Linked DNA regions of Arabidopsis thaliana. The protein of the gene in region 1 interacts with the protein of each later gene in a pairwise test. Each region holds a gene or a part of one and is shown in the gene's direction. Other genes may lie near its edges. The genes, in order: AT5G01160, BLH3 and AGL77.

Region 1 (3,756 bases):
AACATAAACCCTACTGAGGACATCAAGTGTTTTAAGTGCTCAAGTTACTGCGGCTTGTACAGTAATTTCAGCACCTCTAAATGTCGTTGCGGAAAATTTATGAACGAGGAGATTCAGTTAGAAAACGAGGAACAAGATTTAGGCCGGTTTCAAGATGATGATAATGGAGTATTTGTCAGCGGTAGGTGTTCATTCGTCTTAACCGATGACTTGGAAGTGTCAGTCAAGTCCACTGAACTTGTCTTGAATAAGCTCAAATCCTTAGGTTGTGCTGATGTTGGTAAGCTCGGTGAAAGGCTTCTTGATATTGGTGTGAAAGAGGTATGTTAGTTAGTTTATTCTTCAAGCGTTTGTGTTATCATTACTTTATTAGTTCTCTCTTACTATATCTGAATCTTGGACTAGGTACTGACTCTGCTGGGATGTATATTCTCCTCAAATGCTCCCTTAAAGGACATTTTCTTGAACAAGAAGATTACACAAGGTGCGACGAAGTTTTACAAATCGCAAAGTCCATGTTTGGAGAAAAAAGAAGATGAAGCAGAACCTGAAAAGGTAGTAACTTTGAAAGCATTTGTGAGGAAGCAGGACATGAAGATTTTATTTGTTGAATGCGGAGAGGAATTTGTTGAGCTTCTTTTCTCTTTTATTGCTGTCCCGCTTGAATCTGCATGGGAAATCTCTGGCAGCAGTATCTCCTTAGGTTGCATAGGAAACATGTGTAGAACCTTCAGGGACTTAAATGAGGAGACTCAAATGTCAACTTCCACATGCGCACTTCCGTCTTTCTATAATTTCCAGATGCAACTGCCTGGTATTATCACTCAACAACCTCCGGTGTACTACCGTTACAGGCTCTACGATTACAGGCAAATGAACTATGGTTTGACTACAAACGGTAATCGAACTACTTATTACCGCAAAGACAGAATCGTTCGGGTGGATTTGAAGGATCCCAAATCCCGTGGCAGCGATAAGTCTGCTCAGGGGTTCTTGAAGAAAGCGACAAAGTGTACTGTATTAGATGATCTGACCATTACATCTATGAACTCCTGCTCCACAGTTTGTTTACTAAAGAAGTTGCAGAGTCACGCAGACGATCTAGAGGTGCAAGTAATTAGTATCAGCAATGCAGAGGTATGTTTCTGTATACCCTTTTTGATCCTGTATTCTTGAAAGGAACTTGACTGACACTTGATTTTGAATTAGGCTTTGGATTTGTTGAGAGCTTCCTTGGTGACATCCTCTGCTTTGAGCACGACATTATGGAATTTGATTGCTAAGAAACTGAAGGAGGAGACTGATTTATGGGACACGGTTTCAAAGAAAGTGAAGGAAGAGACTTGAAGAAATAGAAAGCTAGTGAGAATGAACTCTAAGTCGATTGTTGATTATGTTTTTAGAATTCCGCAAAATCTACATTACATTCCTCATGTTTTCTTCCAAGCCTTATCTTTCTTTGTAAGACTAATCAAATTATTGTTTTATGGAAATTCATCTTAATAGGGTTTTTTAAATGCAGGCAAAAACTTGCACATCTTTTTGAGTTTATAAAGCAACAAGCCTAAAATCTGGAATTTCCTAGTACGATAAGACTGAAATATACAACCATTACCAAAAAAAATGCATCCATATACAAAAGTTTATAATAAGATCCAGTTGGTATATAGTAATTGGGAATGTTGAAGACATATGAAGTGTTGATCAGAAAAAAATAAGACTTGAAGTTAATTAATGGAAACCCTCTTTCTCAGCCAGAAGACTTGAAGGCTTCTATTCTCCTCCGTTGCCCACAAAAACAAAATTTGCTTCGCCGTTTTCGGCTCCGGCGTGATTCTTGAGAAGAACTGAAGTAGAGAGAGAGATCTGAAATCTCAATCTCCGATTTAACTTGGTAACTAGAGAAGCTTTTGATTCCTATTCTTTCTTTTGATTTGTATTTCTTAGGGTTCCGTTCATGTAACTTTTACAGCGACAATGCTTCAAATTCGTCTTCGGAGGGATTCCCCGACGGAAACTGGAAATGGTGCGAGGCCTTCTCCGACGGAGACGGTTACTGTAGCCTGTCCCGACCATCTCGTCCTCGCCGATCTTCCTGTTGCGAAAGGAATCGGTTCCGTGACTCCCACCACCGTAATCAAGCCCGTCGGTCGTCGTTCTCGCCGTCAGCTAGGCGAGAGAGTTCACTTCTGCGTTCGTTGCGATTTTCCGATTGCAATCTATGGTCGTCTGGTAAAAAACTTCGCTTCCTTCATTGGTTTATGGCTATATTGATTTGCCTTAAAGAGTTTTTTTAAGGGGGCTCTTCTTCTATATGTGATTGAAACTTTTTTTGTTTTGTTTTGGTTTTGCAGATTCCTTGTGATCATGCCTTTTGCCTTGAATGTGCTCGCAGTGATTCCATCTGCTATCTGTAACCATCTTTAACTCTCATCGAATTTCATTAGAAGCTTTGATAGAGATACTTTAGATTGTTTGGTAATCTACAGAGACGCAGGATTATCATAGTTTGAACTAGGCTTCGAATTTCATTAGAAGCTTTGATAGAGATATTCTAGATTGTTTAGTAATCTACAGAGACATTTTAAGATTTACTAGGCGTAGCGATTATCAGACTGAAATCTTGTTGTCTCTTGTGTGTGTGATTACTGCACAGATGTGATGAGCGGATTCAGAAGATTCAAACAATCAAGATGATGGAAGGGATCTTCATCTGTGCAGCTCCTCATTGTCTTAGGTCTTTCCTGAAGAAACTTGACTTTGAAGCCCATGTCCATGACCTCCATGGAAGCCTATTACAAGCCGATGCAGAGAAAGAAGATGGTAACCAGTCAGATGTTCAGAGCACAATGCAGCAGTCTTCAGCTTCAGAATCCACCTTGCGAGCTCCTTTAAGATCCCAGCTGCAACAATCCCGTGAACTAAACAGGTCGGCGTCATTTGCAAAGTCACAGTCTGGATTTAGTCAAGTCCAGAATTACCCTCCAGATAGCGATAACTCTCGCCCTCCTGGATTCGAAACCGCTAGTCCTAAACCAGGAATCCGGTTCCCAGACTACCCCCAGCCTATGAATCTTATGCAACCGCCCAGCTTGCCCGTTCCAATGAATCAAAACCCGGGTTTACCACAGCAGTTTGGTTTTCCTTCGTATCCAACAACAGAGAGTGGATCATCTCAACAATTCTTTAACGGTGCTCAGTACGAGATGACAAGAACAGAGAGCGGCGGATCAGAACAAAGTTCATTGCTCGGGTATCCCCCGCCTTCACCAATGACGAATCTGAATTTCCAAGGATCGTATCCTCCTCCATCATGGAATCCCGGAATGGCACCGCCTCACACGACCCAGCAGGTTAACCGGGGTAGAGACGGTCAAAGTTTTGGGTGGCCACAAGAGAACCGTGATGGCTTTGGGCAGGAGTAAGAGTAGTCTAGTTTGAATTTGTGCAATGTTAAACTCGTCGTTTGAAAGTTTCAAGTACTTTTGTTTCTAAAAACTGTGTCGTTTGTTGTTGGTCTAACATGTAATTCGAGTAAACCCAATTTCAACCGAGCCAAAACCGTGCCAAAAATTCCATCGGAAAAACCAAACTGATTTGGGTTGAACCAAAGGTTTTACACCATTTTATAGGAACAACCATCGTAGATTGCACCCACTGTGTCACTGTGATAAAGAAAGAACTAAGATTGATATTTTGGTTTTTAGCTCTTTTTCTTTACTGTTTTGGGAGGATGATGATGATGGTTATTATATG
Region 2 (3,756 bases), on another chromosome or scaffold:
CTCATGTGGTTAAACGGTCCGACTATTTATGATTAACAACTGCGATTAATTATATCTTAAGGATATTAATTATTATTAGCTGTCATACCATATAGCTAGGTGTACAAAAAGCTTTTTGTCCAAACAAAAGCTGTTGATTTCTTACTCGTCATTTCCTCATTTAGCACTATCATCATCACTCATCATCGATTCATCATCTTCTTCAAATTATATACTCACGATATGTATAATATTATTATTCATAAGAATACTCATCATAAATAGCTTTAGAAAACCACATTCATTTAACCTATTTTAGAAAGTTAAAAATATTTGATCCTTTCAAACTTTCCCACTGTATATACTCCCATATTCAACCAGCTGTGTGTAGGGTTTATCAGTTGTACATTTAAAAACAAACAAATAATCTACTCATAAATATATAAAATTTCATAAAAAAAGAATTTGTTGTAACACATTGATTCTCCTTGAAAGGTTTGTGTCGGCTGTTCCAATCTATGACAAAACCGAAACTCAACCAAAAACAAAAAAAAACATTAAAGAATAAAAGAAATAAACGAAATATACAGAAATTGAAATAAGAATAACATTTATTAAGATGGACACAAAGCCGTTAGCTTCGTTCCGTTAAGGAACGTCTCTACGAAACAAATTGGCGTCCAAGTCTTTCGTTTTTGGCCACTTTCACCAACTTCGCGTCCGACACAGCTACCTTATTTATTTCATTTTTCATCATCTTCTTTCGAATTCTACTTTTTCTATTATTTATTACACAACCTCCTTAGATCCTTTGGGACATGGAATCGACCCATCATAACTTTTCTTTTCATTTTATTGTTTTGCGTATAAATACATTTTCTTCATGTAGGTCAAATGAATCACTTGATTATTTAAGAAAATATGTTTATTTGTTAGTCAACTAATTGGATTTTTTCGTTCCAAGTAAGGAAATTGGGTAGTCACCAACTGGTTGTTAAGGTCCTTTAATCCCTCAATTAAGCAATTGAGCAGACACAACACTTCTTCCTCAAAGCAACATTTCTGGCAAATCAAAATTCTCTAGGCCTAGGGATACTTTAGTAATTTTAATTACTTTATATTCAATATATTGATTTGTTGACAATTCTACTTATATCTTTATTTTTAATATGTAAATAATAGGAAGATATTGAAAAAATGGAGTTAATTAGTTTCCTCTTTTGCACGTCACTTAATAAGAGTATGTGTGTCCAATGTATTACGCGAAGAAACAAGTATATAACGTATAAACAGTAGGAGACCTCAAAAGATGTTTAATTTTAATTTTGATCACAATCTTTTTAGAGAGTTCCGTCGTTATAATAATTTAACAATTATACATCAAAACATCATAGATTAGTTATGAAGTATCATGTCACGTAACACATGTTTCTCGTTCGCTTATAACCAGGGATCTGCAATTATGTAAAGAAATTAATAAAAGCATCTGTTGGTTCAGACTAACCCATGATTTTATCATCACAACCACAACTAATTTGAGATTGCTTGAGTTAATTTAATCTAACAAAGCTTTGGTGGAAAATTTTAATAGTAAAAAATTTCAACGGTTGCTTGAATTTATGTCCAAGCTATTAATTAAACTTTATAAAAACATAGAATACGAAAACTCAACTCTTTTCTTCATTTTAAAAAACATACTTTATTTTTAATTATATTTATTTGAATATAAGCACCAAGTCAAGTCAATGACAACACTGCACAGTATTCCTTCTGGTTCCAATAATATTCTTTTGTTTTATCAGATAACTTGAAATATAAATGCATATAAAAAGTCGCATTTGTATAAATATTCTCCATTATCTAACAATAATCCTATCAGAGAAAAGGAAAAAAAATATGAAAATTTCCGCTCACGCGTGTTATTCTCTAAATGGTTGGCACAGAAAAAAAACCAACAAAAAATTATTAATTTTAATATAGAAGCTTCGGTTGGAATAGAAAAACAAACAAAAAAGAATTACTGGTAGAGAATAGAGATTGTCAAATTTCTCCATAGGTTAGTGATACACTGATATTTTATTAAACATTAATTAAAAAATCTGGGTTTGTTGTCGAGGTTCCAATGATAAGATGGTTTGGTTCTGTTCTTTGTTAGTGAATGCCAAATAAAGTTTTAAAATAGTATCGGAATTTAATAAAAATCGTCTCTTGGGATTGGGTGTCTTCTCTTTCTTTCTCTCTCTTTTTGTCATCGACTGTTCGAAGTTCTTCTTCTTCTCCCTTTTTATCTCTCTGTTCCCTGATTCAGCCACATCCACAATCTCTCTTTCTCTTTTGTATAGTTTATCATCTAGCTCTTTCTCAGGTTTCATTTCTTTAACTATAATAATTCGATTGTTCTTATTAGTAGCTTCTTGATTCAAAGCTATATGATTGACTTGTTGTACTCTGTTTCTCTTTTTACAAAAAGATTTCCTTTTTCGAATTTTATCATCATCTTCGTCTCTGTTAAATTCTTACAAAAGTATGAAATCATCAGAACTTAAAAAAAATTAACTTTATATCTTTCATGATTTCAAACATCATCCTCTGTTTTTGTTTGCGTCACTGAATTGAAGTGGAAACTTTACCTAGGGTTTTGATATCTTCTTGACCTAAATTGAGTATTTCATATTTTTTTCATTTCTTGAATTCATCTGTAATTGCGGCGTATATAGAGATTAAGATGTTTTAACCTCTTTAAAGAATTGTTCTTTTATTTATCCAGTTTCAGTTTCAAACTCACACGTCTCTCTCTCTCTCTTTCTCTTTTTTCAGACAAAACATCAATCGGATGAAACTCACTTAAACAACAAAACACTTTCGATTTATTATCCAATGGCTGTGTATTACCCTAATAGTGTCGGCATGCAATCTCTTTACCAAGAATCCATTTACCTCAACGAACAACAACAACAACAACAACAAGCTTCTTCTTCCTCTGCTGCATCTTTCTCCGAGATTGTTTCCGGTGATGTTCGAAACAACGAGATGGTATTTATCCCACCAACAAGCGACGTAGCCGTCAACGGAAACGTAACGGTGTCAAGTAACGATCTAAGCTTTCACGGTGGAGGACTTTCTTTAAGTCTTGGTAATCAGATCCAGTCAGCTGTCTCTGTTTCTCCGTTTCAGTATCATTACCAGAATCTTTCGAACCAATTGAGTTACAATAATCTTAATCCTTCTACTATGTCTGATGAGAATGGGAAGAGCTTGAGTGTTCATCAGCATCACTCTGATCAAATTTTACCTTCCTCTGTTTACAACAACAATGGTAATAATGGTGTTGGATTCTACAACAATTACCGTTACGAGACATCAGGGTTTGTGAGTAGTGTACTGAGATCTCGTTACCTTAAACCAACACAACAATTGCTTGATGAAGTTGTTAGTGTAAGGAAAGATTTGAAATTGGGGAATAAGAAGATGAAGAATGATAAAGGTCAAGACTTTCACAATGGGTCTAGTGATAACATTACAGAAGATGATAAATCTCAATCGCAGGAGTTGTCTCCTTCAGAACGTCAGGAGCTACAGAGCAAGAAGAGCAAGCTTTTAACAATGGTGGATGAGGTAAGACTAAATCAAATTTGAATACTTTAAAGTGAGAGAGAGACTTTGGAGTTTTGAGTTTTGAAAACATTTTTGCAGGTAGATAAAAGGTATAACCAATACCATCATCAAATGGAAGCTTTAGCATCGTCTTTCGAGATGGTAACAGGTCTTGGAGCAGCT
Region 3 (3,756 bases), about 15 Mb from region 1:
TGAATGCATGGCGTGTATGTATGTATGAATGTATGAATGCCGGCGTGTATACGAATAAGTGCCTGTAAGTATACACATTCTTCAATTGATTTGCGAATCCAGAATTCTCTGTTTTCTGAGTTCTAAGAAACGCCACATTCTAGGCTCTGGACTTTGCACCTGAAGAAGAAACGTGACTTAACATCATATTCAAAGACCAATATCAAAAGATCAAGGAGGAGAAAAAGATTGAATAGATCAAATATTTGAACAAAACCAAAGGCACTTTGTGTTTGTTAACATAACTAAGATTAGAGCCGCTTCCTTGGTTAACTATGATGAACCATCATCTTCTTCTTGTTCTCAGGCAAAACGATCTGTAAAAAATAGAAAAGTAAACCAAAAGAATCAGACCAAGAACCAAACCGGAAACACAGTGATGCAGAACAAAATCTATACCAGATACAGAGCATCACAACACCACTTGATCTTTGATTCCCATTCACAAAATCTAAACCTAATACAGATATCCCAATCTCGCGATCGTTTACAAAACCAAATCAAACGAATCACAAAACTATCGTAGATGGTATTGAGGAGGAAATAACAAAATTGATCGAGACAAATCAAACCCCAAAAGATTAACACACCGATGGAACAAATTAAGTAACATAAACAAAGAACGAGAGGTGTTGTAACAGTAATCGAATCAACTAATCAAGTAACAGAGAAACACAATTCATAAACAGATCATCGGAATTGAGAATTCATAATCATCGGAATTGCCTCAAAGAAACCCTAAATTCGAGAGTTTGATAACTAACCAGATAATCGATATACCTAGACGAAGTGAGAGATCGTCATTTCTGGATCATGATCGTCGCCGACAATTCGTCGGTGAACCAAGCAAGATCGCCGGAGAAAAAAAAACTTCTCCAGACATTTTGCAAAAAAAATTAAAATTTAGGGATTTCTAAAAAGTGAGAGATATCATAGAGAGATTTGTAGAGGTTTTTCTTCTTCTTCAAACGGTCTAACTCCAATTTTTTCCGCTATATAGAAAAATTCAAAATTTGAAAAATCAAGATTCCAAGACTAAGACATGTTTCGAAAAAAAGAAATTGAAATTCCAGCTGTGACACGTCATGATTATCATGTGCAACAAGTTTGAGCTTAACCGGGATTTTAACATTTTGGTTTAGTGTGAAGGCCTGAATGTTTTTGGTTAAAGCCTAACCACTGTGATCTCATGAACATATTTAGATTCGTTTGGTTTTGGTTTTAAAATGTGACATTAATTCTAAGTCCAACCCAATTAGATCGAAGCAATTATATGTTATCTTCCCAACCCAAACTACGTATTTTCAACTATACAATGAAAATTAAAAGTGACCAAATTAGGCGACACAGAAACGAACAGGTCCAATATATAATAGTTTGGGCCGCTGTAAAAATATACACGTTTGGGCCAAGCCTAGTAAAAAAAAACAAAAATTTGGCCTCTTAACTACCGATTCCAAAATTGAAATGTAGCGTTTTGATTATTCTTCTTTAAATTGTCAGGTTCTACGAAAACCCTAACCAGAGAAGCTTGCCAGCGGCTGAAGAGTTCCGACGAAAGCAGAGGAAGAAAAATATATCGGTTAACCGACCGAACCGAAACACTGGGTAACCAAACATAATTTACAAACCTTCCGATCGGTTTTCCTTTCCTAACCGAAGCAAAGCCCGGAACCAAAAATTTCGGTTCGGAGCGGTTCGGAATTATCGGTTCGAGTTTGTCTCGCAGGCCTACAAAAAAAACTCTATAAATATATGACATATCTAAGGGTTTCCTTAACCTAATTCATTAGCTTTTTCTCTTCACTCTGAACGTGAAAACAAACACAGAGAGTTTGTCTTCAAAATCAACAAGAAGATGACGACCATTCGATCTTCACCTTCTTCCTCTCGTTGTTCCAATTCGTCTTCCTCTTCTTCTTATTCACTCGCTTCCACAAGTTTGTCTAACAGACTTGAGACTATATTCAAGAAAGCTTCAGAGCTTTGCACTCTCTGTGATATCGAAGCCTGCGTCATCTATTACGGACCAGACGGAGAACTTAAAACATGGCCTAAGGAGCGAGAGAAAGTGCGAGACATTGCTCTGAGGTTTAATCAATTAAACGAAGCCTTGAGACACAAGAAAAGCGTTAATCTTCATGGGTTCCTGAACAAGAAGAAGAAGAACAAGGGTTTGAAGAATCCGAACAAGAAGAAGAAGACGAGTCTTAAGAACGTGAATGTTTTAAAGTATCCACTCGCTGATCATTACTCTCCCGACCAAGTTTCTCAATTGACTCAGTCCTTAGAACTCAATGTCTCTAAATTCCAAGAAAGGCTTCGATTTCTTGAGTCGCAGAAACAGAATGAGACAAAACCGGATCATCAGAGTTTAACATCAATATCTTCTCTGAACCAATCTTTGAACCCTAGCCAGTTCTCGCTGTTTATGTATAACCATGGATATAATACTCTGTCTCAGATCCCAGTCTCTGCATCAAATTTCAATCAGGATTATATCTCAGCGTTACTTGAACAATCTGAGTTGAAGAGTCAGATAATGAAGCAGGAGGTTTGTGGTTATGAGCAGAACATGTGCATGAGTAACCATGGAGATGCTACGCTCTCTCAAATCCCATTCTCTGCATCAAATTTCAATCAAGATTTTTCAGCCAACAACAACTTCCAACATTCTTTTGTCTCAAACACACAAGATTACTACTCTGTTCAAAAATCTGTGAATAACAACTATGGGTTGAAGAATCAGTTAATGAAGCACGATCTTTGTGGTTATGAGCACAACATGTGCATGAGTAACCATGGAGATGCTACCTTCTCTCAAATCCCACTCTCTGCATCAAATTTCAATCAAGATTTTTCAGTCTCAATACAAGAAGAATCTGGCTTGATGCAGCAGGAGCTTTGTGGTTATGATCAGAATCAGAACATGAGCATGGGTGACATCACAAACAACAATTTTCAAGTTACTTGCGCCTCAGTACTAGAATCTGTGAACAACTTTGGGTTGAATCAGTTGATGCACAAGGAGTTTTATGGTTGTCATCAAAACATGTCTATGGGTAACATCAATAACAACAGCTTTCAACATCCTTGGGTCTCAAACGCAGACCATACTCGGCGGTACAAGAATCTGTGAACAACTTTGGGTTGAATCAGTTAATGCATGCAGCATGAACTTTACGGTTACGGTTATGCAGACTTTTGTTAATTTCTTATGATTAATTTGATGTGTTGTTGTTGTTGTTGAAATGTATTCAGATCTACAGCTTGTTTACGGTTATTAGTTGGATAGTATTTAGCAGTACATGCACTTTCACTTTCCATAAAGGTCATTATTGTATCATGATTGATGCAGAGGATATCTACACCAGTATTCTTTCACTCTATAGTAGCTAGAAACAACAAGTACTACGTAGCTTATTAGTGTCTTTTAAAGTACATATATATAAATGTGATATGTTGGCTCACTTCACAATACCTCGCTTCTGTTCATTTCCCGTAAAATACTCTTCGATATAAGACATCTATCACCTACATGACTCCAAAAGAATCTCAAAACATCGTTATCACCAGCGTAAGAGGCACTGATAGATTTATAAAGTTTCAAGTTTACCATTAACCGTCGATTATACATTACATCGAACAAAGCAGAAGCTTCAGTGACCTTCCCTGTTCGCCAATATGCATACGCCATGGTCGTGAATATAACACTAT

What was found.
Region 2: the proteins of AT5G01160 (region 1) and BLH3 interact in a two-hybrid assay, tested with the Arabidopsis thaliana proteins (one large-scale study listed by BioGRID).
Region 3: the proteins of AT5G01160 (region 1) and AGL77 interact in a two-hybrid assay, tested with the Arabidopsis thaliana proteins (one large-scale study listed by BioGRID).

The regions. Positions count from the first base shown.
Region 1 is NC_003076.8:52,303-56,058, forward strand, and holds AT5G01160 (RING/U-box superfamily protein), read left to right. Parts: upstream 1-1,553; 5' UTR 1,554-1,894; exon of another isoform or gene 1,895-1,972; 5' UTR 1,973-1,977; coding exon 1,978-2,232; intron 2,233-2,354; coding exon 2,355-2,413; intron 2,414-2,656; coding exon 2,657-3,425; 3' UTR 3,426-3,750; downstream 3,751-3,756. Other genes in the region: AT5G01150 (hypothetical protein (DUF674)), read left to right, coding at 1-321, 406-1,137, 1,210-1,347. UniProt on the Arabidopsis thaliana protein: Probable E3 ubiquitin-protein ligase which is a subunit of the N6-methyltransferase complex, a multiprotein complex that mediates N6-methyladenosine (m6A) methylation at the 5'-[AG]GAC-3' consensus sites of some mRNAs.
Region 2 is NC_003070.9:28,300,991-28,304,746, reverse strand, and holds the start of BLH3 (BEL1-like homeodomain 3), read left to right. Parts: upstream 1-2,018; 5' UTR 2,019-2,344; exon of another isoform or gene 2,345-2,796; 5' UTR 2,797-2,856; coding exon 2,857-3,594; intron 3,595-3,672; coding exon 3,673-3,756. UniProt on the Arabidopsis thaliana protein: Transcription factor that is responsive of the nuclear import of SHOOT MERISTEMLESS (STM).
Region 3 is NC_003076.8:15,512,447-15,516,202, reverse strand, and holds AGL77 (AGAMOUS-like 77), read left to right. Parts: upstream 1-1,897; coding exon 1,898-3,178; 3' UTR 3,179-3,260; downstream 3,261-3,756. Other genes in the region: AT5G38730 (Tetratricopeptide repeat (TPR)-like superfamily protein), read right to left, coding at 3,512-3,756.